Caenorhabditis elegans: one gene and its partner. The protein of the gene in region 2 purifies or fractionates together with the protein of the main gene of each other region. This does not show direct contact. Each region holds a gene or a part of one and is shown on either strand. Other genes may lie near its edges.

What was found.
Region 1: the proteins of grk-2 (region 2) and pgp-10 fractionate together in Caenorhabditis elegans (co-fractionation; one large-scale study listed by BioGRID). This does not show direct contact.

Annotation. Positions count from the first base shown.
Region 1 is NC_003284.9:7,154,076-7,171,410, reverse strand, and holds pgp-10 (P-GlycoProtein related), read right to left. Parts: upstream 12,376-17,335; coding exon 12,207-12,375; intron 11,648-12,206; coding exon 11,532-11,647; intron 11,486-11,531; coding exon 11,384-11,485; intron 11,338-11,383; coding exon 11,206-11,337; intron 11,134-11,205; coding exon 11,000-11,133; intron 10,661-10,999; coding exon 10,489-10,660; intron 10,437-10,488; coding exon 10,312-10,436; intron 10,264-10,311; coding exon 10,182-10,263; intron 10,131-10,181; coding exon 10,044-10,130; intron 10,002-10,043; coding exon 9,893-10,001; intron 9,841-9,892; coding exon 9,736-9,840; intron 9,686-9,735; coding exon 9,498-9,685; intron 9,450-9,497; coding exon 9,309-9,449; intron 9,259-9,308; coding exon 9,170-9,258; intron 9,121-9,169; coding exon 8,826-9,120; intron 8,535-8,825; coding exon 8,418-8,534; intron 8,371-8,417; coding exon 8,161-8,370; intron 8,103-8,160; coding exon 7,947-8,102; intron 7,899-7,946; coding exon 7,797-7,898; intron 7,735-7,796; coding exon 7,669-7,734; and 20 more. Other genes in the region: bar-1 (Beta-catenin/armadillo-related protein 1), read left to right, coding at 795-862, 977-1,103, 1,169-1,264, 1,322-1,426, 2,060-2,206, 2,253-2,377, 2,426-2,540, 2,595-2,807 and 9 more; C54D1.7 (Antimicrobial peptide), read left to right, coding at 15,474-15,537, 15,694-15,770, 17,297-17,335.
Region 2 is NC_003281.10:671,109-687,422, reverse strand, and holds grk-2 (G protein-coupled receptor kinase 2), read right to left. Parts: upstream 11,302-16,314; 5' UTR 11,295-11,301; coding exon 11,031-11,294; intron 10,981-11,030; coding exon 10,879-10,980; intron 10,831-10,878; coding exon 10,550-10,830; intron 10,216-10,549; coding exon 9,808-10,215; intron 9,368-9,807; coding exon 9,026-9,367; intron 8,753-9,025; coding exon 8,484-8,752; intron 8,435-8,483; coding exon 8,301-8,434; intron 8,253-8,300; coding exon 8,130-8,252; intron 7,577-8,129; coding exon 7,376-7,576; 3' UTR 6,774-7,375; downstream 1-6,773. Other genes in the region: W02B3.7 (uncharacterized protein), read left to right, coding at 389-734, 1,038-1,186; W02B3.4 (uncharacterized protein), read left to right, coding at 4,094-4,240, 4,694-4,831, 5,148-5,281, 5,330-5,456, 5,655-5,897, 5,947-6,073, 6,233-6,342, 6,390-6,527. UniProt on the Caenorhabditis elegans protein: Specifically phosphorylates the activated forms of G protein-coupled receptors. Required in adult sensory neurons for chemotaxis.

The DNA of each region.
Region 1 (17,335 bases), on a different chromosome or scaffold from region 2:
AATCCTGATAACGATTCTGTCTAACGGAAACCAAATGATGGCTTGTTTGATTTTCCACTAGAAACCTTTTGAAAAACAGCAAATCTGGGTCGTTATGCTGATATGATATAAATGAATAAGAAAATAAAGAAGAATAAAAATGAAGGACTTGATAAATAAGAGTCGACTAATTATCCCAACTGATAATTTACGACTAAGCTATCCCATTTCTATTTTCTCTCCCAGCCTTCCCAGTTCTCCTCCCAAATACATCCTTATCAAAGTTGTTTCCCCCGTCTTTCCCGTTTGTTCATTTCAAACCCACAACTGATGACTGTGTGCCTTCTCGTTTCACCACAGATAATCATTATTATTGAAACATACCTCTAAATTTTATTAGCCAATTTCACACCTTTGGCTGCTCACTCACTGATAGGTGATTGAAAGCACGAAAGAAAATGGGTTGAATAATGCGAGCGGGACGGGCAAGGGGATGGGAATGATTGGGGGTGAAATAGAAGCCATCTGATATCAATAGCCCTTTACTCTAGGTTAGGTACAAACCGCTCATTTCTATTATTGCTTTTTCTTCATTACACAAGCCTTAGACTCTCTATCTCACTATTTCACCGCCCCATCACCACACACTCTTTCTTGTGCCCAGCAGGAAGATTTGTAATGTTTTCAAACATTTTGTTCATTCAGTTTTTTCACTGCTTTTTCCTATTTTTTCTCTTCATCCGGCAGACAAATCGTTTTTCTTGTTCGAATTGATTCATAAAAAAATATTTGGCTTTTTTTTTCAGAAAACTGGGATGGACCTGGATCCGAACCTAGTTATTAACCATGACGACACAAATTTATCAGAGGCATCTTTTACAATGTAAGTTTTTTTGATTGAACGAGCCTGCAAATTTGAGGAAAAGAAACAATTTATTTTGATGTTGGGAGTTATCAAAAAAAAAATTTTAAAACTGTTTTAAAATATTTTTTACAGGGAGCAACACACCTCGAGCTATTCGGATATACACATGGGCTCAACGCCCTGCACCGGCCACCGCAAGGTGGATATGTGGCGGAATCACAACTTTGATAGCGGTTTCCAAACAATGAATCACAGTGAGGTACGAGAAAACAGAGGAGAGATAGACACACACACACAACAAAGATTAATGTGTTTCAATTTCAGGCTCCATCTATTATATCATCTCTACATCCGTCATCGCATCTTTCCGGAATGTCATCCATGGCCGACTATGAGCCGATCCCCACTCTTTCAGATCAAGTAAGACCATTTCATATCAAAATGCGCTGGTGGACAAAATTGTTATTTTTCTTCCAGCAAAAACAAAAGTTTGATGGGATCACGCAAAATCAAGCGGATGGGCAGTATAACACAGTTCGAGCAATTCCAGAACTCACTATGCTTATGAAAGATCAGGATAATGTAAGATTTTTTTGTTCAAAACTTTTTTGAAATATTCATACTCATAATTTCACAATATATGAATTAAAAAAATCCTCGGTTTTGACCTATTTTTTATATTTTAATTATATTCAAACATCTTGTATTCCAACATGCAACAATGCTCGAAATGTTACAAATTTTTGGAAAACTTAGCAACTTATCAGAACTGTGACTGAAATTTTTGAAAAAAAAACTTTAAAAAATTAGAAACGTATGTCTACTATTACTATTATTACTATTACTATTACTATTACTACTATTACTGGACTACTATTATTTCATTTAGGTATAATATGATGTTAATTGATTTTTAACTTTCAATTACTCAAAATAAATTATCAAATCTACAGTAAGAAAAATATTTAGTCGAATTTATTCACTTAAATTTTCAAATCACAAAATCTGAAATTAAACTATGAACTTTTGATTTCAGTACTGATATTAACACAAAGATAAATTGGTTCTAATGCTGCTTACTGATGAAGCCGGTGTTTGAACTTTTGATTGTTTGTAACATTTAAAATCGATTATCAAAATTGAAGTATCTGGAAAAAATTTAAAAAAATTGATTGTTCTGCTGAAAAAAACATTATTCAAACAAAAATCTTACAGGAGGTTGTGCACAAAGCTGTAATTCTGATGCAAAATATTGCGAAGATGGAGTGTGACCCAATGCGACGGCAAAATGAAGCTCGAATTGTGGACCCCCGTGTTATATTTACACTGCGTGATCTTCTCCGTGACAAAGTTGAATTCCCGGTATAGCTTGTGCACTTGCACAGTTTAATACATCATATATTTTCAGAACATCATTCGTTGCACTTTGGGAACATTCTTCCACATTTGCAACCGACAGGAAGGAATTGATCTTGTCACTCGAGCGATCGCAGAACAACCTGATATAATTCCAAATCTTATTAGGCATATTGGGTAAGAAAGTTAAATTTCAGAAAAAAATCATTCAAATAGCTGTTACAGTACTTATCCAAGTTCAATATACAAATATGCCATTCTTACTATGCATTCGATTCTGTCCGATAAGCAGAGAGGCGGACAAAGTGTGATCATTGCGCGTCAACAAGATGCGATTACTGTAAGATTAAAGAAGAAAAAAAATTGAAAAAAAAAAATTTACAAAAAATTGCAGCATGTGACTCCGTGGTTAGAAGCGGAGAAATCAGAAAAACTTCTTCCAGTGATAGTTGACTTGATCAGAGTTTTGTGTGAAAAGAACACCGAACAGAAAATCAAGTTTGTGAAAATGGGAGGACCTCAAAAACTGCTCATGCTACTACAACACAGAGTTTATGAAAATTTGCTTTGGCGAACTACGCAACTTTTGAAAACATTTTCGAACTTTGTAAGAAATATTTGAAACTGAAGGATGTAATGTCTGAACTTTTCCAGGACGCTCCAAATCTTGTTGCTTTTGGTGGTCGCCAAATTCTCGCCAATCTTCTTTCACATGGTAGTCCGCGACTTGTACAATCAACCCTTGAAACTTTGCGAAATATAAGTGACGTACCAAGCAAAATAAAAGAAGATTTACTTTTGAAATCTCTTCTGGAGCTGGTCAATTCTCGAAATACAACAATCCGTCTATATTCTGCTCAGATAATGTCAAATCTAGTTGCAAACAACAGGCATAACAAGGTGCTTTTGTCAGAAATCAAGATATAGTATTAATTTTAATTCCAGGAGTTTATGTGTGGCAACAATGGGGTTGTCATTCTTGTGAGAGCTTTAACAATTGCCACCAAAGAGATGGGTGACTTGAGAGATAAAGAAGCACAGCAAATGGAGGATTATATTGTAATAACATTTAAATTTCAAAGCTTAACAATACGGTTTTCAGGAAAGCCTAATTTGCACGCTACGGCATCTCTGTGTTGGACATCCAATGTCAGATAAGGTCCAAGCATTTGTTTTCCGAGATCCTGCATTATTTCTACACAAATTGTTAACAATGAGACCAGTATTGCTGAAACACACATTGAGTGTAAGTCATTAATTTGAAGGGCTAATAAGAAATTGAGATTTAATTTAGCTCCTGCTGAAAGTTGTATCCCAACATGCCCTTCTTGCTCCATTCCGATCATGCCGAATTGGAGATAAAGGTTTTGTTGAGCAACTCATTCATATTTTGAGAGTGGCATGTACCCAGCTGAATGTGGTAAGTAAAAAGTCAACAAACCGACTAATAATTGTTGGATTTCAAGCAAGAATCTATCGAAGGTGTCCGCGTGAAAGATATCATTCATCTTTGTATTCAAATCCTGCGATGGATTACAAGAGACCAGGACATTCTCAACGAGGTATTAATGTTTTCAGGTTGAAAACCCAAATTTCAATTTATAGGTTGTTTTCTTCCTGCAAACTCCTGAAAATAGCCGAATGGGCGATGGTCATACTCTTCCAATTTTTGTATTACAAAAAGCCAACGTTGAAGAGAACACGAAATCATCGGCTCTGGCCTTGATTTATAATTTGATGCATCATGAGCAAATGGCAAACGTACTTGACAGAGATGACGTTCTTGTTAAAATGCTTCAAAATGTTCAAATGCAATCTCAAACTCACCCTGAATTAGGTAACGTTGCACACCAATAGACAAGTAGAACTGAAAATTTACAGCAAGTCTAGCAAATAATATTCTCAAGATGATGTATGAGAAGCGAGAAAAGACAAGGAATACTCTTCCAAGATACAATTCATATTTAGAGGTAACACAAAATGGGGGATAACTCTAAGAAAAAGTCAGTATTACAGAGCCAATTTGGTCACATGAGCATGACCACCCCACGAAGCGAAGCACTAAATAGTAGCGGTGAAGTGTGTGAGGGAGCTGGAGAGCAATGGTCTACACCTTTAACAGATGATACTATGATGGATTCGTATTGCAACAGCTCCGGACGAGATTCATCAAGTAAGATATAAGATGACAATTTAATTTGCTCTAGGAAGCTAATCAAATTTAACAAATAACTTTCGGCCATTTTGACATTTGCCGGATGTCAAAATTTTGAAGATGTCTTTAGAAAAGCAGTTTAAAATATAAGCTCAACAAAGATATATGTTCGATAATTTTCAAAGCTTCGGCAACACGATTGTTCGTTGCCGAAAACTTCCCGAAGTTTTTATATATTGCCAACTTTGATAAACGCAGGATTCCAAAGATTCTATCTACATACATAGTTTTGCTTACCATTGTGAGAGCGAAAAAAAAACTTAGGAAAATTGTTATAGATGTAATTTTTCAACTTTTTTAAAATAACAATCAAAATTTGACAATTATTCATTTTACATAGTTACCCATTTTTTGGAAGTAAAAATTGTTTAAATGTGAAATGAAGGTTTTTAATTAACGTATTTGCTCTATAAGTGGGGGTGCCAAAACTTTTTGAAAGAATACATATATTTCGTAATATTTTATTTCGGCTGTATGATTGTTTTGTTTTTTTCTTAAGATTATTTTACTAAACTTTTCACTGACGCTACTCCACCTTCGAATTGGATTGAGACAATATACTATTAAAGAAACTATGAACCTAGAACCAAAAACAAATATTTCTTCAGAACCATACAACTCACCAATGTACCATTCCCCACCAGCAATGTATCCAGAATACTCAATTGGACCTCCCGAGACGTACTTGGATCCCCATGCCACAGCATCTTGTTATCCGCGACCAACGCCTCCTCAATATAACAGCTATGACCGTAGTCCACCAGTTTACAACGACCTTCCATCAAACCCTGGTCCGAGTAGTCATTCGTCTGATTATTATCCTTCTAGGAATAGTCGATTTTAATTTTTTAATTATAACATAGACCCCCACACTTTCCACCACCCCAGTCGGATATTTGTTGCACATTCCTTGAAAATGAGATTCTAATTATTTGTATACGGGTTCATGAATTGGCATGCAAAATATGTTGAATAAAGTGAATTTTTATTGAATTTCAATTTCAGAAAGTGTGTCAGATAAGAAAATTTTTATAAAAATAACAACTATTATTTACAAATTATGAATTCCAGATTCAGAGTGTAGTTTTTGCATGCCAAAACAAATTCATTTACGTCATTTGATTCATTTCGTAGTAGATACCCTTCAAGTTGATAAGCTGCTCATGGCTACCTTCCTCGGCAATTTCTCCATGAACAATAACGTATATTTTGTCGACGTTTCGAATTGTTGATAAACGATGAGCGACTGGAAAAAAAACATTTTTCCCGTTAGAGATTTGCCAATTCTCGTGACGTACTGGCTGAGAGTTTAAACCGCATTAAATATTACTTTTCAGTTTCAATATACTAATTCTTACTTTGAATACACGTGCATTGAGTCTTCGTACTCCTCTTGACTCGTTCAAAAGCGTTTTGAACTTCTCTCTCGCTGGCGCTATCCAATGCCGATGTTGCCTCATCTAACAGTAGAACAGTTGGTTTTCTGATAATTGCACGGGCAATTGCAATTCTTTGTTTTTGACCGCCAGAGAGCTGGGCACCAAACTCTCCAACCTCTGTGTCGTAGCCCTAAATTGCTTTGTTTTAATGTGTTTTATTTTTAAACTCACCTGTGGTAAACTAGTGATAAAATTATGAATGTCCGCAATCTTTGCAGCTTCGATAACTTTATCAATTGTTGCTTCGCTTTCCATCATTCCAAAAGCAATATTTTCCTAAGAACAAGAACATTTTATTGTGATTTTGATAAATGGTTAAAGATACCTTGATGGTGAAAGAGAAAAGATCAGGTTCCTGGCCGACTTGTACAATGCATCTTCTTAAATAGGCCGGGTTTATAGATTTGATGTTGTACTTGTCAATGATAACAACACCATCCGTGGCGTTGTACATTCGTTGGAACAAAGAAATCACCGAGGATTTACCGGACCCGGAAGGTCCTACAAGTGCAATTGATTCTCCACCCCTGACCTTTAAGTTGATCGTTGAAATTCGATGCAAAAAAGGTACTTATGGGTTTCGTTCCCCTCAATATGTTTTCCATAATTTTTGATAGAGACGTGAACTTTTTTTCATTCTCAGGCTTAGGAAGATGGTTTCCTAAGCCTGAAAATGAAAATAGTATTAAAATAAACTTTCACGTGTGGATTAAAATTAAAAATTCAGTATTAAATAATTAAAAGAACATTTTGGGGGAACGAAACCCATAAGTATTAAAAAAAACACTGACCTTCAAGTTCAAGTTAGTCAACACTGGTACAATGGGTCTTGAAGGATATCTGAACGAAACATCCTTAAGACAGAGGTTTCCTTCCAGCTTCTAAAATAGAAAACTTGTATTTCCTTGGCTTAGTTAATAATTTTACCGGTCTTAAGCCTTCCTCTGATAAGTTATCCATGTCAACGGGTGGTTCTCTTATCACCCTCATAACGTTTTCAGCTGCAATCTGCGCTTTGGTAAAGTCACTGACAGATGCGATGAGTTGTGAGAAGAAATTGGCACCAAACTGAGTGAGCAGAACAACTCTTAAATGACATTTTCTTATTTTTATGTTTCTGCTGATCTGTTCTGGTTACCTCATATAATCAAATACACTAATTTCGTTTGCCAGCATCATCACTTTTCCAAAGTGAAGAGTAATTGCAATAAGGATATAGGTGAACGAGTATTGACATGCAAAAACAAGAGCAGAAATAAGGGATTGTTTTTGCATACATCTGAAAATCAAATTTTAGAACTAAATCAACCGATTACTGTACTCACTGTGATACTGGTTTTAAAGCATCGCAAAAAACGTTATAAAAATGAGATTGTAGATTGTATGCTTTGATTGTACTCATGTTTGCAAGCACCACGGACGCTAAGTTAGCAGCTTTTTTTTCTTCATCCACCATTTGTCTTTGTCTGAAATACACTTTTGAAACGGACTAAATTTAATGGACTGGCTACCTCTTCGTTCCTTCTCTGATTTGTAATATTCTGATAACAAAGTATGCTGGGAACTGGAAGGAACACAAAAGAGCCATTTTCCAGTTGATCCATAACGCGCAAACAATGGAGAACAGCGAGCAGACAACACCAGGAATCAACATATCAAGCTTTTGTTCCATAATTTCATTCAACGTAGACGACTCGTTGATCACTTTGTGAACCAGCCTTCCTGGACTGTTTCTTTCCTCGTCAAAGTATGCAGCGCCATGGCGAAGAACCTGAAATCAAGCTTCGAAAGTTTACCAAGAGAGTAGTGTATACCTTTCTAAACATTTCATTTCTCATGAATTTGCAGAAGCCATGTCCATAAAGTGCGATGAAAATTCGCTAAAATTTGAAACATATTATTGGGGAAATTAAGGATTTTGGGAAATCAAAAGTAAATTTACCCCAAGCGCCTCAAAAATAGTTTTGACAATGATCAAAGCTGTATAAATTGCAGCTACAATAAAAATCTGAAGTGCTCGCTCCTCATCTGGAGCAATTGAAATCTAAAATGTTAGAATATTATGAAAAGAACGCTGCAAGTATCGAGTAACCTCTAACACTGACGCTACTTGAAAACAAATCAGAAGGTAGAAAACTGCTCTAACAATTGTTGTTGGTATAGCACCTGCTAAAAGTGGCAATCCTGTTCTGTAGGAGTAGATAAGATCCTTTAAAACTGTGAAGTTTGTCTCTTTTCCAGGAAGATCCTAAAATAGAATAAAGTTTTGCCTGAGCAACATTAATAAAAAATAATGTTCGGATTACATCATCGTCGTGCATACTGTCCGTGTGTTGTTTCACATCCATACTGTGAACTTTTGAATATTTGTAGTCTAATCTCTCAGACTTTTTTTTGCTCATCACCGGCAGTTTCAGTTTTTCCTTCTCCATACTGTTTACAGAGTACGACTTTCCCAATTTTTTATTGCCACCCAGCGAACTGCGTGCCCATGCACGACGTTGTTGATCGGGATCCTGAAAATTTACGAGAATAAAGGTTTATGGTTTGATTTACAACGTGCCATGTTTGGTGGAGGACTGAACGACATCTGTTGCTGTAGGGATGGCGGTTTTGCCTGTTGCTGGTGCAGCTGTTGGTGTTGCTGAGTCAGTTGGTCGAGGCGTTGGTCATTGTACATCTGTCATGATTGAGATAAAAGTTGACTTTGAGAAAATGAAATAAATTTGGAATCGTGAGAAAAATACCATTTAAAGGGAATTAAAAAAGATAAAAGGATGATTGAGGTAATAATCTTTGACACTATTTTTATTTACTTGTTAGAAATTTAGGGATCACACCGTGTCAGTCATCGAAAACTTGTAATCGTATTTCTAAGTTAGTTTTGACCATCATTCAGCTTTGAAATGGTTATATATTACGTGAATTGTTTTCTATGTTATCCAAATACTTCCTCCCTCTTTAAGCTTACTTTGTGGAAAATTCCGTTTGCATCAGCTATCAACTCATCCGGCACTCCTTCTTCTACAATTTTCCCCTCGTGCAATACAATAATTCTATCAGAATTTTTTATCGTTGAAAGCCGATGTGCAATGGTAATTGTAGTCAAACCTTCGGAAGCTAAGTCAATGGCTGCATTAACTTCTTCCTCGTGAATATTATCCAGTGCAGAGGTTGCTTCGTCGAAAATCAACACAATTGGCTTACGAATTACTGCCCTAGCAATAGCAACTCTCTGCTTTTGACCACCAGATAATTGGTGCCCTCTGAATTCAGATAAATTATTGTAAAAATTGAGTTAAAATGCATGCATACCGTTCTCCAACTCTGGTCTGCATTCCATCAGGTAAACTATTGATAAACTTCCATGCACCCACTTTCCTAGCTGCATCGTTAATTTCTTGCTGTAAAGTTTAACTTGAAGGTAAAACGGTTTGAAATTATCAAAAGGAACCTGAGTGGCATCCAACCTTCCATATCGAATGTTGTCACTGATCGTTCCATCAAAGAGTACTGGCTCCTGGCTAACAAGGGAGCATTGTCCTCGGAGATCATCCGGACACATCGTTTTAATATTCTCACCGTCAAGTAATATCTGATAGCTTCTAGATTAGTTTATGACAAATACACTAGAATAACTTACAGCTCCTTTAGTTGGATCGTAAAACCGGAGCAGTAGAGCAGTGAGGGTGCTTTTTCCACTACCACTACTCCCAACAATCGCTATTTTTTCACCAGCTTCTACTTTAAATGAGATTCCACGAAGTACTTCAGTTTCTTTTCTGCTTGGATACGAAAAGTGAATATCGCGGAAGTGAAGAGCTCCCTTCCCTAAAAAGTTTTAAAAATTTCACATGACTCTATAAACTTCATTAGTTTACCCATAAACTTCATACTCTGTCTTCGATACTTGCACCTTGTTACTGGAACATAGTCGATATTGTTGTCAATTGAAGCAAGTTCCACTTCAATTTTTGGCTGCTCGTCTGAATGTGGACCAATTTTTAAACTGTACATTAAATTTCAAATTTTGTTTACTTAAAACTTCGCAAATCTCTTTTGCGTTATCTTTTGCTCTTGTGGCTCCATTCATGTGGAAGCCAATTGAAATAGAAGTCACACACATATAAAGCATGTTGATTGCAAGCTGTAAATTAAAAATGTACGCGAAAACGGGAAAAAGTTGTACTGCGCAAAGACGTCCTGGCGAATTGTCAGCAACCCTCCAAATCCCATAACAAAGTGCTCCAGTGAAAATAAGCTCTGTCAGGAGGATCTGAAAATTTTTATTGCGAATATTTCAGTAAGAAATTGAGAATTCCAATACCTGTGTTAAACTATCAAAGACTACTGATGATCTCAACCGTTCCTCTGTTAGTTTGCTATGTTCTGCAGATAACTTCTCGAACCTGAATAGTTGCCAGATATCATTTAATCCGTTTACCCAATACTCTTACTTGTTGATTTTTTGTTTCTGAGCGGCGAATGAGATCACCGTAGTTATACAATTAAACGTTTCATTGACAAGATTTGTGATTTTGTTCTGCAGCTTTGTCTCCTCCTCCATTGTGTTTGCAAACCACTGAATAAACTCCTTCCGGTAAGCCTATCTATCAATTATATCATTCTCTCACCTTACTGTACAGTATACGTGATATGATAAGCAGCGGGATCGCGAGACACATGAACAGTGTCACATCCCACTGAATGTACAGGCATACGCCAATGTTAACAAGTAGGTACGATAAAATGAAGACAACCATGGGCAGATGATCGGAAATTCCATTGTATATAGAGTCAGCAGATCTGAAAAACAAAATTTAACGTACGTGCATATTGTGGTAGCACTTGATATACAACTTTTCAACTTGAAAATATTAAATTCGAAGTTCATGCGTGATTTTATTCTAAATTTCACCTCTCTTCCTTTTGTGCTACGTTCACAACTACAACTATCCCTTTGTATTCCAGTCTCCTGTCCCCACTATCACCCATTCCCTCGGTGACCACCAAAATTTATTATCATTGCTTTTCTCCTCCTGTCGCGAGGTAAAGGTTAGGGGTTTCAGGTTTTATTCGTTGATTTTATGTTGTAGAACTATCTGATCTTTACTCCTATCATCATTATCATGGCGGAAATCTTACTCTTGCAACATTGCGGCAACATGACCACTCTGTCGGGATTCAAGCCAAGAGATATCCATAAGAAGCAACTTTCGAATGTATGCCTTCTTGATGCGGAACACTTGACGGATCGACGAAATTTCCCAAGCAATTCGCTGGAAAGTGAAATACAGTCAACAAACACTTAGAAACCCATAAAATCGGCGGAAAATGTCAAAACAAGTTACCTGGCAGAAAGCTGCAATAAACATCGCAATCGACAGTCCCAACATCGAAATGAAAGCGGGTGTTGCAGAATGAGCAAACTGATCGTCGATTGGGTAATCCGATGTGAGATTTTTCAGTCCAAGTTTTCCTTCCTACATTTCAAAAAACTATCATTGAAAGAATTTCAGATCAATTTACCTCTCTTAAAATTGATATTGAGACAAAATTACCCATAATAAGCCAAACAAATGGAGGAAGTGCAGACTGAAGTAGTGCACTAAACAGACCCATCGCCATCAGCTGAATAAATGAAATTTAATAGAATAAAAGTAATGTTAATCAAAACCTGCATGTCAATACTATCGGCAAACGCATAAAGCCTTTTGTAGGGTTCGAAAAATCCAAGTTTTGGCTTGGAATCTGAGGATTTATCCAAGGGGTCGTCCATTGTGACGTCATATGCTGAATGAGTAAAGATAATTAAAAAAAGGGCCTATACGCTCATATCACAAGTCAAATTTATATTAGAAGCAATTTTCAATTTTTCGAATCACATAATTATTTTTTTAAATTCATTTTCATTATAGCAAGCTAATCCAACTTGAAAAATAAATGAGAGAAATAGAACCACTCAAAAAAATTTAGGGGGTACATTCACTGTATCAGAATTCCTCACATTTTGGTGTGTGAGTTCAAAGCCGCACGCGGCTTTTCCAACTGAATCTGGACACAATCTTTTATGTAATTGCTTAGTTACTAAAGGTTAAAAGTTACTAAAATTCACAGCTTTGTTAATATGATGTAGTAAATAAAATCTATCAATATTTAAATTTCAAAAGGCACAGGTTTACCATTGCAAAAAACTCGACAACTTTTTTTAAATTTAGAACAAACAATATTACTTATACTCATAACTAATTGTTCACAATTCTTGGAATCCAATAAGCTTCAAAATCACAACTTTCCCGGGAACACTCTATTTAACAACGATAAAAACATTTCTTAAACTCATTGAACTAACCTTTCTTACTATTCTTCAAATCATCAATATATAACGTTGACGGTTCAATCGGATAGATCATTGATTTCAGAGATTTCTTGTCTTCTGTTTCTGCTTCTTCTTTTTTTTCAGCATTTCCAATTTCGTTGGTTTTATTTGTGCTCTCATTTTTATTTTTCTCATTTGACATCTGCAGAAAAATTAATTGTTACATTCAACCTTCGAATCACTGAATTGTAGAAAGTACAAAAAGAGAACAATATCCACACATCAATCTTCAGTGATGCACTTTAAATTAAAAAAAACATTTGAGTGAAAAAATCTTGAAAACAAAAGCGACCACACTTGGCTTCATTAGGCGGTCATTACATTACTCGCAACCACAAAAACGAGAACATCACGGTTGGTGATGGTGATCGATGCGGTTGAATGGAATGGAGACGAAATGGAGGGTGGAGAGTGTTAAAATGACCTGCGGCCCCCAAGAAGTTCTTAAAGAAAACACACACAAAAACGGGAAGATGAATCAGAAACGGAAATCTTATCAGAAAATATGTATTTAGAGTGATAAAGAAAAAAGAAATGGTAAATGGGATGAAACGGAAGATAGATTAATTGATAAGTTGAAATGAGCTAAGGAACATTTATTTCGGAAGTTGAGAACTTGTGATTTACAGTCACCAGAGTTTTCGAATACCGTTTTTCTTCTTTTATGTCTTGCCCCCTATTATATTTGCATCTTTAACCTTGCATACAAAATGATTATTTCAAACATGTCTGACAGATTTCATACTAGACCTCCAACAGTCAAAAATTTTTAAAAAATTGGAAAAATATTTGCATATACCTTTTGGTTGGTTTTCTATCATTCCGAACGTCTTTTTTCAAAATAATTGGCTTAAATTCAAAATAAATGGTTTAAAAATAGTTTCCCGGTCTCTACATTTTAGTATTGCGTACCTAATAGTCATGTTTACGATTTTTTTCTCTTCAAATAATAACATTTTTTCATGGCTTATCAAAATCAGTATTGTAGAAACTACTCTTCAAAACAAGAGAGGGGGTCCTTTGTGCTCTCAAGCTTACTTAGACACTTCGAGCCAGTAAAAGGAGATAATAGTTCCGAAAATAACAAAAATCAATTGTATGTAATTTTTAGAAGTCCATAATATCATTTTTGCTAGAAGTGACTGCAGGTCTAACAAGTTTAATATACTTCAGGTATACAAAAGTTGACAGAATATTTTCAAATTTTTTAAACAAAATTAGTTTAAATTAACAAAGGCATATGCATTCAAACTATCTAAAAAAAAACAATTAGATATTGGGAAAAGGGTTTTTGGAAATGTGTCTGTTTGTAATACATATGTGCCAAAAAAGTTTCACAAGGAAGGAAAATAGTTTTACCTTATGTGACACTATGCAAGGAAACAATTGATGATTGTATCGGAGGTTATCATCATCTGGTTTTTCTATTTTTCTTACCAAGACCATACTCCTATCATCGCCTCCTTTTGCCCCCAACGCCTTCTTTCTCTCTTGTTTTGGAAAGTGACCGTCAGACGATTTCGAAAATAATCGAGTGCACGTCTTCTCTGCTTCTCTTCTTTTTTCGCCTTACAACCAATAATTGATAACTTGATCATTCTCAAACTGTCGTAACCAATTTCATGCTACCGGTCGCTTATTACTACGAATTAAGTTAACGTTTTGTTTGGTCTCGTTTCTTTTATCAAACTATGTAACCAACTGAATTCACATTTGAGTCATATTATTTATTACTGCTTCAGTTCTATGTAAAAGGGGTTACGTCTTCAGAGATAGTGCGAAACTGTATGGTATAAGTATGCAAAGAAAATACATTTGCTTCCGATTGATTAGTTCATTGTACATGCCCTTTTGTCGGCAAACAATTGAAAAATGTGATTTTTGAAAAGATGTTATAATTTTTATATGTCTGTCTGAATCAATTAGAAATAAACTTGAAAAGCAACTTTTCAAAAATAAAGTTATCTTAAATTTTAACCTCTACGTTAAAACCTTATACATAAATTAATCTAAAACGGCTAAATCGATTTTCATGAAATCCAACAACTGTAAGAACATTTCAAAAAGATGTTGGAATCATTTCAATTCTTATTTTTACTTACAAAACCGAAGTACAATACAAATGTCATAAAGGTTTTGATGATTTCGGGTTTAAAAACGATATTACAAATTGAAATTTTTTAAATTTAAAGAATAGCTAATAAAGATAATATTTTTCAGTAAACTATTTTATATATCAATTTAACATTGAAGAATGATATTTCCGTTTTCAATAAATAATCTAAAAAGCAAAACTGTTCTGATCATGTCTACATTGCTAGGCACCCAAAAATATTATCATTAATAGGTTATTAAAAGAGAACTAACGGTTTTAAGTATTTTGAACGAATAGATCATAATAATATTAAAAAGTCCAATTTTGTAATAAGAGACTTCTCAAAAAAATTAATGGAGGTTCAACATTTTGAAAAAAAATTAGCAATTTTAGCTGGGTCTTAAATTTTGCTTACTTTTCCGTCTTACTGTTTTTTGGATATTTTCCTTTCATTTGATTATCAATCTTTATTGCACATTTTGGCCGGTTATCTCACATTATCTCGTTGATTAAGATACATTGATTAACGACTATTATTTAAGTGTTAGAAAAATAAAAATTATTTTTGAAACAAGTGTAAAAGTGAACAACTGACTAAAAAAAATAAACTTCTTTTTGAATTTCATACAATTAAAACAAATCAAATAATTGGTATAATTTAACTAACAGACATCATGAAACTTAAGTAAGAGTCCAGTAAAAACATGGCATGAAGTGTTTTCGATTACAAGTGCAATGTATTCAGAAGAGTAAAACGTAAATATTGGACTGGTAACAATTAAAAAACAACAAATAGAACAAAAATGAGGAACTCAAAAAGTTTAGTAGATTTATTTTCTTTCATTAACCACCTCCTAAAATAAGAGAGAAAATGCTAATGTGAGAATCATCATTATCATCACACAGTCTCTTTTTGTCATCGCGAGTTTTCACTAATTGAATCAAATACTTGGAGGACATTTAATCACTTGTTTCTTGTTTTGTTCTCGCCCTCGCATCCTAGTGTTTGTGTTACTACAATTCATAGTTCAGACATCGTAATTTTACAGAAAACGGCAGCAGCAGCGACAAAAGGAACAGGAAACATCGTTCTCCATCATCTCAGCTGATTCACCTTATCCCCCAATTATCTTATCTTATTCGGGATGACAAATCAGTTTTGGAAAATTGTGATTGTGATGACTTTGATAACGACCATGTTTCTTGGAGGTTGGGACATTTTCTTAGCCTTAGAGTACCGAACAAAAATGAGTCATGTAGTAAAAGTCTTGCAGATATTGCATGCATTGAAGTGTGAACATATCTTTTAGAAACACTTTGTTCAAATTTCTAGTGATTATAATTTAAATGACAAAAGTTTTACAGAGACTCACAGCGAAGAAGAAAAAATAGTGGGACTTGAAGAATTCCTGACCGAACTCGATCCGACTTTAAGTGACATCGTGAGTGAAATGAAACAATGATATTAAATGACAGTCGTCAAGTTTGATATATTAAGATAGTTACCACATATACTTCTGGCGTCTTTTGAATTAGAGATTTTTAGCCCGCGCAATCAAAAAATATATGACAGTGTATTGTGATAGAACAAAAGACGCGTAAATGTAGGTGTGATCACATTCTTCATAGATTCAAAATTTTAGTTTTTTTTTGTTTCACAAGTGAATTGCACTTTGCGTGACAAATTAGAAATAGTCGTGATATTTGGAATGAATGTCCAAATTCCAAAGCGCAGAATTGGGCTTATGTTTAAAAACAAGGAACACAAGTGGTCACATGTATCAAACATGTGTTTTGTCAAAACTTAAAACTTGATTTTAGAAGTTGACCATTTTAGTATCTACAAAACCGAGAGGCTTGATTTCGATCATTGATTTAGTAAGGTTGAGTAGTTTTATAGATAGGAATGAGTTTCTAAAAAAAGTGATTTGACAGGTTCTATTGATTCACACAGCTGAATTTCAAAAGTTGTAGGAGTTCTTCTACAAATTTTCTCATGAATTGATTGATTCATACTTTTTAATAGAAGCTTTTTAAAATTTTCGTGCTAATATATGTATTTTCTGAATTCTATCAGTTTACTTTGTTTGGAATCTTAAAAAAAATGAATTCTTCAAACTTGATAACTTGGGCAGGATCCTATATTTGATAAACGTTTTAGAATCAATTAAAAAGTTCCTATCATGAAATTTTCTGGCCATTTTTTGTGCTCAAAATAATGACGAATTACTTGGTCTCGTCAGCATCGATTGGCAAACGTCACAACTTTATACCATACTTCTGAACATTGAGCATTTAAAAAATGTGCCAAAAGCTGTGATGAATTTACATACATTCAAGAAGTTGAAGTTTGGAAAGTCGTACATAAAATGTAGCTAAACAATTGTGAGAATTTCAATATTGAAGACTGCAAGAATTTGCTGAACAGCTTGATCGTATTTGTAAACTCCGATTAATCCACAAATTTTTAAATTTTTGCAATTTCATTGCAACAGTTTATAAATTTAAGTTTCTAGCTGCAAGAGATTTCCATGAAGTTCAGTCGCTTCGCTGAGCAGGTCGTTTGAACTCGCTATGTTAAGCTAAACCAAATCTAAATTTTTATATTCTTACTGTTCACACAAGACAATGACGATCTCTATAGAACCGATAATCTCTATAGAGCCTCAAATTTTGAATTTAAAAAAGTATGTTCAGTTTTCTTTTATTTTATTGAATAACTTCAATTCTATTGTACCTCGAAAATAAAAATTAGAAAAATTTAGGACTCAAAATGCCATTGACCACAGCACTCAAATCAATTAGTGAATGATTTTGTAGTTTACAAGAGACTACAAGAAAGTAACATTTTGCAATTCCAAACTGTCTAGTCACGAAATAGACGTTCTGATTTCTGATGGAATGTAAGAACAAGACCTAAAACTTAACATACAAAGCAACCAGTACAACCGAAATCTAATTTTTTTAGGTTCTTGAATTATTGGAAGCACAACAGTTACCAACAAAC
Region 2 (16,314 bases):
TTTCCTTAAAATCGGGGGTTTTTGACAATTTTTCATTAAGACTATCGAAAATCACGTGATTTATCAGAAAATAAGATTAGTTTCAGGTAGAGCATATGAGAAAGTGCATGTAAATGATCTGAAAGTTGCCAAGCCATTTTTGAGTACTTTTTCAGATGTTTTAGCTAAAATTAATTTCATTTCCCAGATGAATCAAGTGATTTCTCATAGTTTCACACTGTTTTCAAAGAAAAACTTGGTAATTTTGTAGAATTTAAAATATTCCATGTTATTCCAAATTGTGGAGGTAAAAAATAGTTGATTTTTAATGGTGTGATGTCACAGTGAAATAACACGCATGACGTCACGATATATCGATCTTGTAAATCAAAAACGTGTTTTCTTTCAGATTTCCCAACCGAGCACGGCTTCAAACGACCTCGCGGCTCTTCAAAATGTGCTAATTGAAAATGGAATGTTTCCATTTTTAAACGGAAGAACATTACTTAATTGGTATAAGGAATGTACTACAAAGCATGAAATTTTCAATTTTATGGTCATGGCTAGCAATTTCAATTTGAACTTCTTAGAAAACTTGGAGAAAGGACAATCTAAATTGAAGTTGGTGCAGAAAAATAGAACAGTGGGAAATGGATTGAGGATTACTGTAGCTTTGAATGAAGTAAAGGCACATATAGGATTACTGTACAAGGAGTTGAATGAAGATGGATCTGTGGTACATTGGACAAAAGGAAGTAGGTTTCATATTTTAGCTGCAGTTTACTTAATACTGTAGAAAACCCACTTGTTTCTTGTAGACAGTGTAGACGCGCACCACTAAAATGTTGGGAGTTTTCCAAAAAATTTTTTAACGCGGCGACCTTTTTTGGAAATTCAAATTTTAATTTTTTTTTAATTTGGCGCGAAATTGCAATTTTAAATTTAAAATGCATCTTATAATAGCTAAAAATTAAGATCCAGAGCAAGCGCATTCTTTTTAGTTTTTTTTTTCATTTGAGCTGAATTTTATGTTTCATTCAAAATTTGAAAATTTTCAGACAACTTCAAAAATCATACAATTCGCTTTTCAACCTATGACCCATGGTGTTCAACTGATATTCACGGTCATTTGTTTTGGATTTCTTGTACTCCTGGAACACGTATAGCCGAAGAATTTGCAAACACTAAATTTACTGATTTTGTTTGAAATTTATAGTTTTTAAATTGGAAAATAAGATTTCTGTATACATATTATATAGCGGAGGTTATAATACGGTGGAATTTCAAAATTTTGAAATGTATCAAATTTTAGCTGATTTTGGTACTTTTTAATAGTTTTTTATGGGTTAAACCTAGATTTTCTGAACTGTGCATATATGAATTACATGTTTCCAAAATATTAGACAATGTTTTTTCCCCAAATATTTTTTCAGCCATCAATGACTGTCCTTTTTTTTGGGCAGAAAATGTTTTTTTTGAAATTGTACAAAATCATTTAAATTGAAAAAGGACAATGTTTTAGGGTTCGGAGGTAAATTTTCAGTCCTCTAAATACAAAATTAATCATTTAAGAGGAGTTTCAAAATTGTGAATTTTTACAATAAATTGCCCATTTTTGCCACTTTTAAATAGTTTTTGATCCTAGATTTTCTGAGTGCTCCATATATGAATTACCCGTTGTCTACAAGTTTAAACAATTTTTATTTTTTCCCAATTTTAAGTCCAAAAAAATTCGATTTTTTTGGCAAATCTTTTGACGGCTATATTTTAAACATCCTATATTTAGACGATCTGCACTCCTAGAATCCCATTTATCAAAGCTAATCAAATCAATCAAGTGACAAATGATTTCACTACTATAAATGTAGCATTAATAGGAGACACACTTCTCATTGTCAGTCACCTCGCTCCTGTTTTCCTCACTTCTCTATATGTTGTAATGAGAGTCATAAATGCTTTTGTTTATGAATGACCGAACCAGTCGATATAGTCCTCTGCCAGGAATGTGGAGGATGAAGGTTACAGAGATATTATAAACAAATCACTGCCACCAAATGTCTCTTTTGTGTTGCTTTTTCAATTTCTGCAACTTTTCTTTTCTTTCTATTTTGGAACAAATTAAGGCTCATGCTTCTGCTTGGCTAGGTTAGGGTTAGGCTTAGGTTTAGGCTTAGGCTTAGTCTTGAAAAATGATAAATTTATTCAAATTTGATTCATAGGCCATACTTTAATTAGACTCGGGACAAATTTTCACATTTAAATCAATTTTTCAGCAATTTTTATATGATAGATGTTTTTTCAATATATTTTTCGGTCAAATGTTTTGTCGCAGTACTTGGGGGAGGGGGCCAGAGCCTTCATGACAAATTGGCATTTTTATTTTATAATCATGTACACGTGGCTGTCTCGTTACCTGCAGGCCTACATGGGTACTCAATCAAAAACTAGGCACATGGCAAGCAGGGCTGGGACCAGAAAATAATTTTGGACCAAAAACAAAAAACAAAAATTTAAATTTTCGAGAAACCAAAAAGCCAAAAATCCAAAAAATCATTATCCCGTCTTTTGACCAGAAAAACAAAAAGACCAAAAAAGTCCCAGCCCTGATGGCAAGGCACTAAAATTTTGTGACTATATAAAAGGTCTTCATAAATTTTTCAACGCTCTCAAAATCTTGCCTGCTTGTTTCCTTATCTAAAACCAAAGGTGCCAATTAGTTCCTAGTACTCATAAAAATTTTTGCAAAAAGTGCCATTTGTATGCTCGTTTTGACGTCACACAACTACCAACAAGAAGCTCATACTTAATAAATATTGTAGTAGTACCATCGATAAAATATTCCTTCTCTATCGAAAACTTGTTTTTTGTGTTCTTCTTTTTTTGGTGTTTTTTTGATGTTTCTAATGCTGGGGTTCCCCATGAAATTTTCAAGACTTTCCAATTTTTTGATGATTGATTTTTGAATCTTGAACTGATATAACTGAAACTTGAAAAAAATCAAAAGCCATTGCGTTTTTGATTTTTAAAGGTGGGTAGCGCCAGTGGAAATTTTTACTAAATACACTTATAACTATTCAAAACCACCAAAAATATAATAAAACACTCCAATGTTTCTTTTAGATTTTTCCTAATTTCCGATCAAAGTTTTGGCAAATTGCCAAAATTTTGAAAAAATATAAGCTTTTGAGGAAATCCAAAGCAACATCGCATGTTCCGATATTTGGTGATTTTGGCACCATAGGGGTAGTTTTTAACACTTTCCAAACTGTTTCTACTTCATTTTAAGTTGCTATAAAATGTATACTTTACAGTCCATCTTTTTGAAATGTCAAAATTAAATTTTATTCTAGCACCACAAGCCGTGTAAACAAAACACTCATAGATAAACTGTCTCTGAAATTCAAATATTTAGGAAAACAAAATTGTTCTAGTTGACTCATATACAGAAAATAGTTTTATCAATTGACTGGTTGTCATATAAAGCGTTCCTTCCGCATTTGAAGATAACTTCCAAGCTCTTTCACCAAAAAACATCAACTCGACTATCATTTCATTAGGCTTCTCGTTATTAGGCAGTCGACCGTGAATAGAATGCTACCACCAGAAAACACAAAAAAGAAGAATTGGTGTTCCTTTGTTAGTTTTTTATTTCTTTTTTCCTTTCTTACTTTCATTTTTCAGAAATCAAATATTTTAATGTTCCAGGTTTGCACACCTTTAATAGGCTGGATTAGATTTAGGCTTAGGCTTATGCTCAGGCTCAGACTTATTCTTAGTTCTACGTTATTTCAAATCTGATATTCTCGAGACCAACTCAAAATTCCAACATCTAAAAATAAAACTTTACTTAGTCTTCAAGCAAATAAAAATTCTGAAATTCTATAAATAGTAAACAAGTAATTTGTTAGTGTCCCTTTCCTCCTTTCTGTTCATACAAAGAAAGAAAAAAAAACAAATCAAGTCACCATCTGTTTCTGCGCAAATTTTCCCCACTTCTATCTTTTCTCTTGAGAGAAAAATTTTTGGTCGCAAAAAATTATTTTTGAGTGACCTTCGTTACTTCTCTAACACATTTTTCCGTATTAGCTTGAACAGTATTTATGATTTTTCCAGAATGAGAAAGCACTTTGTATTGTTCTCATTTCCATTTCTTCTCCTATCCTCCATGCTGATCTTCTATCAGACAACTGTATTTCGGAATCAACTGAACGAAGAAAATGACTACACGGGCGGTCCAATCGTTCCATTCATGAAACGATCCGTAAGATTTATTAAAAGTGAAGTAGCTCCAGCTGGAAAATTGTTAAAAAACCACTCCTATGGTGCCCAAATGACCGAATATCGTAATAAAACGTTTTAAAAAATTCTTTAAATTTTTTATCTTCTGTCAAAAAGTTTTGCCACCTATAATTTTGGAATTCCACCAAAAAAAATTTTCCTACATTTTTTATACTGGAATTTTGTTTTAATTATTTATATTAAAACATTGTGAAGGTCGAAACATACGACATTGCTATAGATTTCCTCAAAAGCTCATATTTTTCAAAATATTGGCAAAAACTTTGACAGGAAAGTATAAAAATTTAATTTTTTTGGATTGTTTTATTATGTTATTCTATCGTTATGGATCATTGTGAGTGTATGTAAACAAAATCCCCACTGGCGCTACTCTGCCTTTAAATGAATGCTAAATTTTCAAAAAAGTAAATTTCAGCTTGCTTTGCACTATCAAACTTGTGAATCTTTTCTGAACTCATTGAATACAACTGTTCCAGTCCTACTGATTGATGTTGATGTACTCAAGATGTTAGATGAAAATGCTTGTAATCTACCAACTGGAAGACCAACAAAAGTAAGAATAGAAAAAAACATGTTGATATTAAAAATATACTTTTACCAAATGAGTTTCAAAATATTTGAGAGGAAATACCACATTCAAATTGCTCAACAAGTTTTTTTTTAATTGGCGGGTATTTCACAAAAAAAATCAGACAATTTGAGTTAGAATTGCTCATAAATTATCGATTCATATCAGGGGTGGGCTGCAATTGGCGTTCGGCAAATAGGCAAATTTTCAATTTTGGCATTTTTTTCCGGCAAATTGCCGATTTGCCGAAAAAAAATCGTTTGCCGCCCACCTCATTCATATCAAAGTCACCTAGTTCCAGATTGGCGTGGACGTCAAATATCTATCCGCCACGTGGCTCCTGCAAGATTCCCGGTTTGAAATTGTCTACTACACTAATGATACCGAAAAAGACTTTCTTGATTTTAGATCAGAACCCAGGAAAATCATTCCAAAGTAATATTTATTAAATTATCTTGAACCTTTCAATTTTCCAAAGTTCAGAAAATTCTCAACTTGTTGGGTTGAAAATCTTGCAGTTCCAGCTGACATCAAATTATTCGTGGAGTTTTGGAAACGTGCCAAATTTGTCAACTGTATGAATTTGCACATCCCAAGAGCCGGGTCTAAGGTAATTTCTAAAACTTGACAGTATACCAAAACATAAATATTTTTAAAAAAATTCTAAAATTTAATAAAAGAATGAAGCTTCGAGATTTTCGAAATAACCTGGAGAGCTTTCAAAATGTAAATTTCCGAAAAAAAATGTTTTTTTTCAAATTTGTTGTATACTTATTTTGATTTTTGGACTATTCTGAAAATTTTCCAGGTTCGAATGCCGGCGAGACCATCATCCGAAGTGTTATCCCGTCTTCGAGACGAACTCATAGAGAATCGAATGTTCCCATTTTTAAATGGCGGAACCCTTCTGGGATGGTACCGCGAATGTTCTGTAATCCCACATACGTTGGATATGGATATTTCTGTGTTTGCAGAGGATTTTAATTTGAATTTTGTGGAACAAATGGAGCAGAATTTATCCGATTTTCGAATTAAGAGGAAATTCGGAATGGTTTGTTAAATTTTCTGGAATCAATTTTAAAAACCTGGGGATAATTTAGACTAATGACTCGTTCGAGTTGACATTGGCGCCGAAAACTGGATTCAAAGTTTTTATAGACGTGTTTCTAATGTACAAGGGTGTGGAGAATGGATCGGTGACCCATCATTGGGTGGGTGGAGTTGCTCGTAAGTTTTTTGAACATTTCATTCTAAAATTGGAAGAAATCCAAGAAGATAAAAAAATTGCTTTGAAATTGTTTTGGTGATTTTCAAGCTAATTTTTCAGTAAAAAATTAAAGTATTTTTCATAAAAAACATTTATAAAATAATTCAACATTTTTACAGCCGACGGCACCAAGTACAAGTACTCCTATCCTGTTTACGATCCATTCTGTGCAGCAGACCTCCACGGTCATATATTTTGGGTCACTTGTACTCCGAACGAGAAAATTGTGGTATGAATTTCAAAAATATTTACTAAAATTCCCTTTAAAATGTTTAGAAAGAGTATGGCCAACTATGGTACCTCGATCACCTGACATCAAAGTACTCATGGAATTCTTCAGGAAAAAATGTGAAGAAGAACGGAAAATGGACGAAGGAGCAGATGAAAATGGTCTACAAAGTGTTTAAACGGTAGCAAAGGAAAACTCTTTGTGTCGGGGTCGAACCTGCGACCTATTTTGTCCAGGGAGAGCTTCTTACCGGCTACGGGGGTACCATGCTTCCACTTAACTGCGCCCTGTGGCTCAGCCGGTAAGAGGTATGACCTTGACTGGAAAGATCACGGGTCCGACTTCCTGCCTAATGAATATCCTGTTAACATCCGGTCAACATTTCAACGGGTATTAGTTTTTTTTCTTTCATTTCATTTCATTTCATAAAATAAATTTTTAATTTATTTATCTGAAAATGGGTTTTTGAGATGTTTTGAAAATGGATGTAAAATTGGTAAAAAGTGTAAGATTCTAAAAGGAAAGTTTTTACATTAAAAATAATGAAATAAAAAATCTTTAGAACAGAAAAAAGAAACACAGTGAAAATCGATAAATTGTGCATCTGATACAGGTTTTTTTACAGGGATGGATGGGGGAGTGGAAGGAATGTATAAATTTAATTTTAAAGATAAGCTATAGTTTTTTAGGATAATTATTCTAAAACAAAGTAGAACTCATGGATTTCACGCAAAAAGTACATTAATCTGTTTTCGTGGCGGGACCCAAGATTGGCATAAGTACTGCTAATAGTAAGCTCTCTGTAGTAAGCTGCATTTGATGAAAAAATTCAAAATATACATTTTTCGGCGGTTTTTATCATGTGTGCACGGAAAAAGAGCACATAAGTGTTCTAAAATAATTATCCCAAAAAAAACTATAGGAAAATGTGTGAAAATCGAGGAGATCACAAGACAAAAGGTACCGTAGATAGAGGAATGCTTGGGGGATTTTTTTCCAAAAATAAAATTTTGGAAAATTTTTTTTCTTCAAGTTAAACACCAGAATCAACACTGCTAGCCCTATTCAGAAAGGCTCTTGTCACAGAACCAGGTCGTTCACTTTCAGATAACATTGGGTCATGATTGACTCCATAGATTTTGATTGCTTTTCGGCCCATTCGTTGCAAAAGTTCCTGGGAGACTTTGTGAGCCGTGCGGAGGGATGTGTGCCATTCTTTCAAAGAGATTTCGTCCTGGAATTTTGAAATTCAAGATTTTGAAAAAATCTGATAACGATGACACTCCTATAAAAGTTCAAATTTGAATTGCACCCCAAAGTTTAAAATTTTGAATTAGTTTAAACAAGAAAATTTCTCTGCAAGAATTTTGATTTGATCAAAATCAGAACTTGAATTTTGCGTCAATTTTGTTCCTAAAAAATTGTAAGTTTAAAATGTGTTCTCGTCAGTATTTTTGAAAGAATAAAGATTTGAATTTTCTGCAGAAATTTTTGAAAAACTCAATTTTAAATTTTAAATTTTCTGCCGCAATTTTTTGTAGGAAAAAATTTCTACAAGAAATAAAAAAAATAAATTTAGAATTTTTCCGCAACGGTTTTTTGAATACTTGAATTTAGAGTTTTTAGCCAAGTTTAATTTTATAATAGCAATTTTTATTCCGCAGAAATTAATACCAGCGGAGAGTGCAAGGCACGCTTCAATAAATGCCACAGAATTCAAAAACTACAAGATAGACAGACCGACAGTTTTTTTTTTCAGTCTTATACTTTAAAACATTTTCACTAACCGAGTTTGTTAAGCAAATCTTAGGCTCTTTGAACCCATCTCGTAACTTCACAATGATTGCCGTCTCTCCCTTGATGGTCTGCATTTCGGCGCACACATCTTCGATTTGATCCATAAATACTAACTGAAATGTGTCATTTTTATATTTACTCAGTTTTCAAATCAAACGTACCTCTGGCTTAGCAGTTAATGATTCCGGATAAAGTTCCAGTCGAGATGGATAGAGCTTGCCGTATTTGGTTTGCCAAGCCGAGGTGAACGGGCCGCCGAGCTTCTTGATATACCCGTGGACTATAACATCGGAATCTGGAATCAAATATTATGCAGATTTGCCTGGGGATCTTTTTCTACTTACCTTTCTCCTCAACTGCCACCTTGATCTTCTGTTTTGACCGCTTCTTACTCTCCGCCTTATCCGCATCCTGATTCACTACCTCAAATATTGTCTCCGCGATTTCATTCTGCCACCGTTCAGATATCACAATATTGAAGTTTTTGTACAAATCTGAATCCCCGTCTTGCAACTTGACACCTTTCACTTCATCATCGTCAAAGTTTCCAATGTCAAATGCATCCGCAGCGTTGACTTCTCCACGTGGTGGGATTAGTGGTGGTGTCATTCGTCTGGAAAATTGCTGATTGGTGAGTTTCTTGAAATTTTACAAAATTGTTGCAACATTAATGGCTTAAAAATTATTCACCTTAAATTTCCGTTTTGGACTGTATTACAATTTCCACAATGTGGTTTGTAAGAAATACCAGCACAGGACGATAAAATTTATAACGGATCTGTATGGCTTCGAATGCTCTTTTCAATTTACATCTATGTGGCTAACGACAAAAAATATTAATTTTTGTACTTTGAGTAATTTGGTTCTATTAAATATATAAACTCACCTCAAATACACAGTTTGCCAATCGACATCTTTGAAAAATGGATGCTCCTTAACCTCCGTCGGCCCTTTCCCGCGACACCCCAATCTATCCGGAACGTCTCGTTTCAAAAGTCCCTCCAGAAGATCTCGACAGTCTTTTGACAATCCTTCATTCGGCAGTTCAATATCTTGTGTTAATGTCATTTTGTCAATCTCGTTCTTATCTTTGCTCTTATGTTGACGAAATGGTGAGTGTCCCTTTAGAAGTTTATACAGCATACATCCTAACGAGAACCAGTCGGCTGACGAGTCGTAGGCAACGCCTTTGGCCAGTACTTCGGGTGCCATGTAGCCGTGGGTTCCGCTGAAATTGAAACAATTAGGTGACTGGTCGAATTTATTTAAAAGTTTAAAAGTTTGATTAGATCCTCATTTTCTGTCTTGAAAACAGGCAAACTTTTTGAAATACTGATAGTAGGGCTCCAATGAGGGCCCGAACGTGTCAGTCGCTTTCAGGTAACTACCTTTTCCCACTTCATTACACATACAGCGGGTAACGGCGCCGGTGTGGGACCCGCATTTTGCTCCTCACTCAGCTGGGAGCCCTGACTTATAATTATAATAATAGGGCATAATTATAGGGCTCAAAAATAGTTTTAAAATTTCTAGCAACGCCTTTGCCTTTTTTTCCTTAGCAAAACCTCAAGAGTCAAAATATGTGTTTGATACAAGGTATAATCTTCCCAATAGCGCTTATAAGTCTGAGATTTTCTATGTGTTCAGGTTTGAAAGAAAACAACTTACACACTAGCATGCGGCTTCTTTTTTGAATAATCACACGCGAGACCCAAATCGGAAACCCTCACATGACCATTCTCATCCAACAAAATATTGGCAGGCTTTAAATCTCGATAAACTACAAATCGATTATGCATATGTTCCAGTCCAAGTATAACTTCTGACGCATAAAATATCATCTCTTGCTCCGTAAATACTCCGTGTTGTGATAAATGATAATGAAGGTCACCACCGTTCATCAAATCAAGGATGAAACACAGTTTGTCGGGTGATTGAAATGCGTATGTCATACACACGATGAATGGGCAATCTTGTCCAGTGGAGACGAGGCTCAACATGATTCTCTCGTTTAGTGCCAGCGTTTCTCCTTGTTTCATCTTGATTCGCTTTTTGTCAAGACATTTCATCGCGTACCTGGAATATGAAATTCTAATCAAGTCCAGTAATATTGATAATTTCTTCCCGTAATGTCAGAGTGTCTTATTTCGGCTTGATCTACGTAGATCTACAAAAAATGCGGGATAAGAGACGCAGAGTTCTCAACTTATTTTTTATGCTTAAGACCGTGCTACCGTCACATATTTTTGGCGAAAATTCCCGCATTTTTTGGAGATCAAACCGTGATGGGACAACCTGGCATCACGTGTATCTTTGGTACTCCAGGGTAACCTAGTTTTTCTAGACCTGGTTTTGAACTTCTGGCATAACATTTTCTTTTTAGGAGCAGGCTTGCATATTCACCACTCACATCTTTCCCGTGTCAGCTTTACGACACCCGTAGACTTCTCCAAAGCCACCTCGACCGATAATTCGATGTACTGAGAAGTCGTTCATTGTCAGCTGCATATTCAACTCCAAGTTTTTCCACTGACAGAATCTGGTGAACTTGTCCGACTCGAGAAATCGTTGAAAAATATCTCCACGAAGCTGATCGCAAATCTCCAAAACATATCGGTGAAAAAGATCTGGAGGCACATTTTGTTTAAGAAGATGATATTGTACATGTTGTAATGATTCTTTTGAGTAGTTCTGAAATAGTTTGCGATTTGTTGAAGAATTAAAGTGACTGAGTCTTACGTGAGCATGTGCGAGCATTTCAACCATTATATGATGATCATAAATTTCTCGTGCTTTTGTTAATCGCTCATCTGGTGTCTCCATTTTCTCGTATTCTTTGATCTGAAACTTTGTTGAGATCAGAGATATATTTTGGTAACTCTGATACTCACCGCCTCGTAGAATTTAATTTGAGGACACGGACTCTCGGAGACATTTTCCGCGTAATCTTTTAACAACAAGAAACCGAGCTTTTGATTGAAGATCTTATCAAACTTCATATCACCCGACTTTTCCAGAAATTTTTGCATTATACTCCGCACACTCGGGTCTGGCAGAACTATGCGTTTGCTGGCACGAGCCGCCGGCTGACTTCGGCTCTTCTCCATTGCCATCAGGTAGCTGACGTCAGCCAGCACTGCTTCCAAGTCTGCCATTTTTGTTCTGCAAAATCGAATTGATTAGAGATTTGGTTTTTAAAGAACGAGTAATAATTTGTCAGGAAACGAGTAAAATTCTGAAAGCCAAACATACATAGTTGCGCTAATTGAAAATAACCTTTATCGGCTTGTAGCTCGGTTATTTTCAGCGACAGAACAATTTTTTAAACTACAAAAATATAGAAACAATTGTGTTCAACAGTTTTGTAGTTAAAAATGTTTTCCTAAAACTGAAAGCAGCCAAGATATTAGATGTCAAAGCCATCAAGGTCCCCTTTTTCTAGCAATGACTCAAAAAGTAGAGCGGCAAAGTATTCTAATATTGTTTTGAAAAATAAAAGCGAAAAAATTACTAAATCTGAAAGAAAAATGAAGAGAAGGGAAGGGAAAAGAGAGAAAAAAAATTGAACAACAATCATAAAAATGCAGTTTTTCTTTCTCTCTTGCTTCTCACGAAGAACAAGAGAGACGAGACGCAGAGAAAAAGATAGAAGCAGAAAAAAAAAAGAAAAATATGTAAAAGCTCGGAGCCCCCGAGCCTACCCCACCCGTCCAAATCGAGTTATGGGGTGAGACGGGTAGTCGAATTTTTTTCGGGGGAAGGGTTTAGGTACTGACTTGGGAAAGGAGGGGGAATGGAAAGAACGAATTTTATGTTCGGGATGATTTAGGTGGAAGCTTAAGCGGATTAGGATAGGATTAAAGAGTTAAAAGACATTCCTAGTGCACTTCTGATCTGGAAGTCAGCTGCAATCAGGAAATGTCTGAGCCAGTAGTAAGTCTAACGAAGCTCTCGTAAAATTGAGATATTTTAAAGAGCAATTAGTGTTGTCACGTTACAAAAATTTTTTATGCAGTTTCAGGTATTCGAGATAAAATTTGAATAGTAATTTTTTTGAGGTGAAAACTCTAAATTTTTTTGAAGAATCCCTACGGGTGTGCGTCCTATAAAAAAGGAAAAAATTCAATCAGTATTTAGTAATCAATTTCCATGAGAACAAATCATCGGGATAGGGCGCCAAACGGGCGAGTAATGAACGGGAATAGGCGCTTTTTAACCAGGTGTATGCAGCGAATTTGTTGGGTTTTCCAAATTTGCCAAGCATGGCAAACTTCCAAAAAGTGGCGGGGCCAAATTTGCTGCACACACCACAAATTGGATTTTTTTAAAATTGACCGAAGCTAATGATTTTGTTCAAAAATTATAGTAAAGTAACATAAAATTGAGTTCTTTTTAATTTTATGCTTTTCGGGGTTTGATGAGCTCGGCAAATATGCCAAATTTGCCGAACTTGGCAATTTTGAGATTTGCCGCACACCCCTATTTCCAACCGTAGGCTGGCACCGTAACGTCAAGCCATCAAAATATACCCCAACTGGGAATTAAAATTATTTTTGTATAGATAGAAAAAATCTAGAAATCTCAAAAATTATATATAGCTGTTTTTGTTATCAAATACTGGCTAGTTGTTGGTAGGGGGTATTAGTTGTAGTATCAGTAACCGCCAAAAGTCTCAAAGGGACACTAGGAGAAGAAGAGGAGACGGAAGAGTGGAAAAACAAGTGGCAGATTAGATAAACACAGAGGGAGGGCTCCCTATTCAAAAAAAAAAGAGATATCCGGATATTTTGTAATGAATTAGTCTTCGATGAAGTAATAGAAATAAAAAGGGGGCTGTGCTAGCAGTGGTAGGTATTAGTTTGAAAGAGCACCTTACAAATCTTTCAAGTAGCTTTCTACAAAAATATGGCACCAGAGGAGCACTTTGCATTGGAATAATGGAGATCGGAAATTTTTTAGTACGTTCTGCTTATTTCAACAAAATAATTACTTATTTCAAGTGACTTTTAAGCTTAAAATTAACTTTAAATTTTGTGCGAAAGGCTCAATTTGAAGAAATATGCACCCTTTTGCATGCCCAGATACAAAAAAAACACTTTTAGAATTTGAAAAAAAATTTGCAAAAATTAGGGAAAAAATTCAGATTTTTTTCGAAAAAATAATAATTTCCAAAAAGCACCCACATTGTTTTTAGACACAAAAGACCCACAAAAACAATTTCTATTTGCTCAGAACTACTTTAAGGCCATTTTCTTGACCTAGAATTCAGCTAAAAAATGCACTGGACCACTTTCAAATGCTAATTTCAGGGGTTCAGTTAAAGTTCCGCCGCTGAAATTTTTGTGGTGATCTAGTCTAAACATAAGCTTTGAAATGACTTACGTCTCAATTTGAAGTCCGGGACTAGATTGGCCTGCTTGTATTGTCAATTTAAGTAAAATGTTCGTAGAACAAATTTTTTGGTCGAATTCCAAAAATTATAAGTCTCGGGATGGTTCGCTTTTTTTTGAAAAATTTCTTAAAACCAAATTTCACAAAGCAGCAAAAGAAGAATAATAAGCCGCATTGCTCTTTTCGACACCAAAAGCCAATGAAATCACTTTCTTTTGATAAGACGTCCTCAACCGGAAAATCGAAAAATCCGGGCTCTTCCGCCAGACAAAAACATTGAATTGGAAGAGAAAATGAGAGAAAAAGAGAAAAAATAACGGAAAAAATTTAGTTTGAAACGTCATGGGCGGCCTGTAGAATTGCAAAAATTTTTTTCAGAAAGTTCAAATTGAGATTTGCGCTGAAAAATTTTGTCCATTTTTTGGGCGGGGCTTGAAGGATTTAACCGTGAAAATCGCCGCCAAAAAATTTTGACTGAAATGCAAAAAACTACATTTTCATCTTTGATGTATTGTTTTTAAAGCTTGTACAAAGAAAAAATGGGTCAGAATATCTCAAATTTCTCAAAAATTCCCCCATTTCAAAAGAAGAAGAGAATATTATTGGGTCGTTAAAAAATCCTTATTTCTTTAAACCAATCACTATGGAAACTGTCGTGTGAAAGTTTTATTTTTTGTGGTCGTTATCGTCTTGAGAATTGTGGGAAGAGAAAAATATAGCCGTCGATCATGTGAAATTGAAATAATAAACTATAATCAGTTTTGGGGATTTAGGAACTTCATTTGAACAAGAAAAAAAACTAGTTTTCTGTCATAAAAAATACTCCGAGAACTTCACAATTTAAGTTTCAAAAAATTCAAGCAATGGTTTTTTTTTCAAATAAATGCAAAAATTTAAAAAAATAAAAATAAAAATTTCAATTTCAATTTTTCATTGAAAATTTGTCGTGAAGTTCAAAAATAATTTCTCTGGAAAATAATCTACCAGAAAACTCAAAAAAAAATTCAAATTTTAATTATTCAGAAATTTTTATTGGAAATTTAGATCTTCTCTTTCTTCCGAAAACGACAGGTCTTCCATAACAGGGGTGTGCGGCAAATTACAAAAATTGCCGAGCTCAGCAAATTTGACAAATATTTTTTTCTAATATTTACCGAATACGGCAAATTTGCCGAGCTTGACGAATTTGGCAAATATACTTTTTTTTAAAACTATTTCATAACGGAAAATTCAGAAAAAAAAACGAGCATGATTCACTTGGAATGCAAAACCTAGACGCCGTCTTACAGCTAATTCTACCCCTTTTCCCCTGTTGTTCAGTATGCAGTAAATAAAATGACGATACACATATATTTTCCAATATGATATAATATCTCGAAAACCAAAGAATAAGTATAGTTTTTGAAAAGTTTGAATTCAAAAAAAACATTTTCACGTCATGAACTTTACAAAATACTATTATGATGCTCACAAGATAATGAAGGTGTTTAAAAAAATGATCGATCATGTTTTAGGGTGCTACAAAAATTAATTGCCAATCTTGTAACACTCTAGAGTTGATTTTATTTAATTATACAATTTTGGAATTGTTTAAATTAAAAAAAAAACAAGTATATATTTGCTCTGATAACCTTTTTAAATGTACGTGCGTAAAAAAACTGTACAACACGTGTCCATATTAATATCAAAATCAGTGGTGGGCGGCAAACGATTTTTTCCGGCAAATTGCCGGTATTGAAAATTTCCGGCAAAATCGACAAACTGGCAAATTGCCGGACTTGGATTTTCCGGCAATTCGGCAAATCGGCAAACCGGCACAGTTCCGGAATAGAAAATGTCCGGCAAACCGGCAATTTGTCGATTTGCCGAAATTGTCGGCAAAAATTTGCCAAACGGCAATTGCCGCTCACCCCTGTCCAAATATTCAGACAAGGCAACGTCAAGCTAAATGAGACAAGGATAGCTGAGGCGGGTCTTAAGTTTGTTCAAAAAAATTTAATGGATTTTTGAATCTACACCATTTCTAAAAAAGAAAGTGTCGCAAATCGAAACTGGTTACGTGAATGTAATTCTTGGAAAAACAGTGTCACATGGCAAAAACAGCAACATTTTGCACGTTATAAAAGACTTGATAGAAAACGAATTTTTCAAAAGTACCACCTATTACTTTTCTTGCAACTTGTAAGATAAGTCTTCAGAGAAGTGTCAAAAGTCAATAGGAACTACAAGATAAAAGAGATAAGGATTAGCTGGTGCGAGTGAAAACCTCCACCAGAGGAGCCAGGAGGCAATGTTTGTTCAGAGCAAGTGGCCCGGGAGATGATTCGAGTCAACTGATTAATGATCGGTAAGAAAACGAAGGTTGCGACACATTTTTGGGCAGAAGGAAAGTTAGCAAAAAATGTAAAATCGTGTGTATGTGTGTGGGTGTGCGAAGTAAGGGGGAAAACGAGAAAATCGTCGCCCTAGGGCTCACACAACTTAACTTTTTTCGTCGTCGTCGTGTCTTCTGAAGTCACTCTCAAGACTCCTGAAGAAGAGAAAACACGGACGACGACGTCTTCAAGTCGGTGTTAATCGAGTTGGTGGTGGCTCTCTCTCTCTCTCTCTTTTTCTGCAAAAAGAGAAAAAGCTGACGGGACCACGACCCCCGTGGAAATAGTGTGAGCGGGTTTGGAGACGCAGCGAGAAATTGCTCGCCAGAAGTGCCCGGCAATCGATGCGTAGCAGCGAAGCCAGTAGTGGAGGGGGAGAAGGCAATTTTCACGAGACGTTGAGAAATTC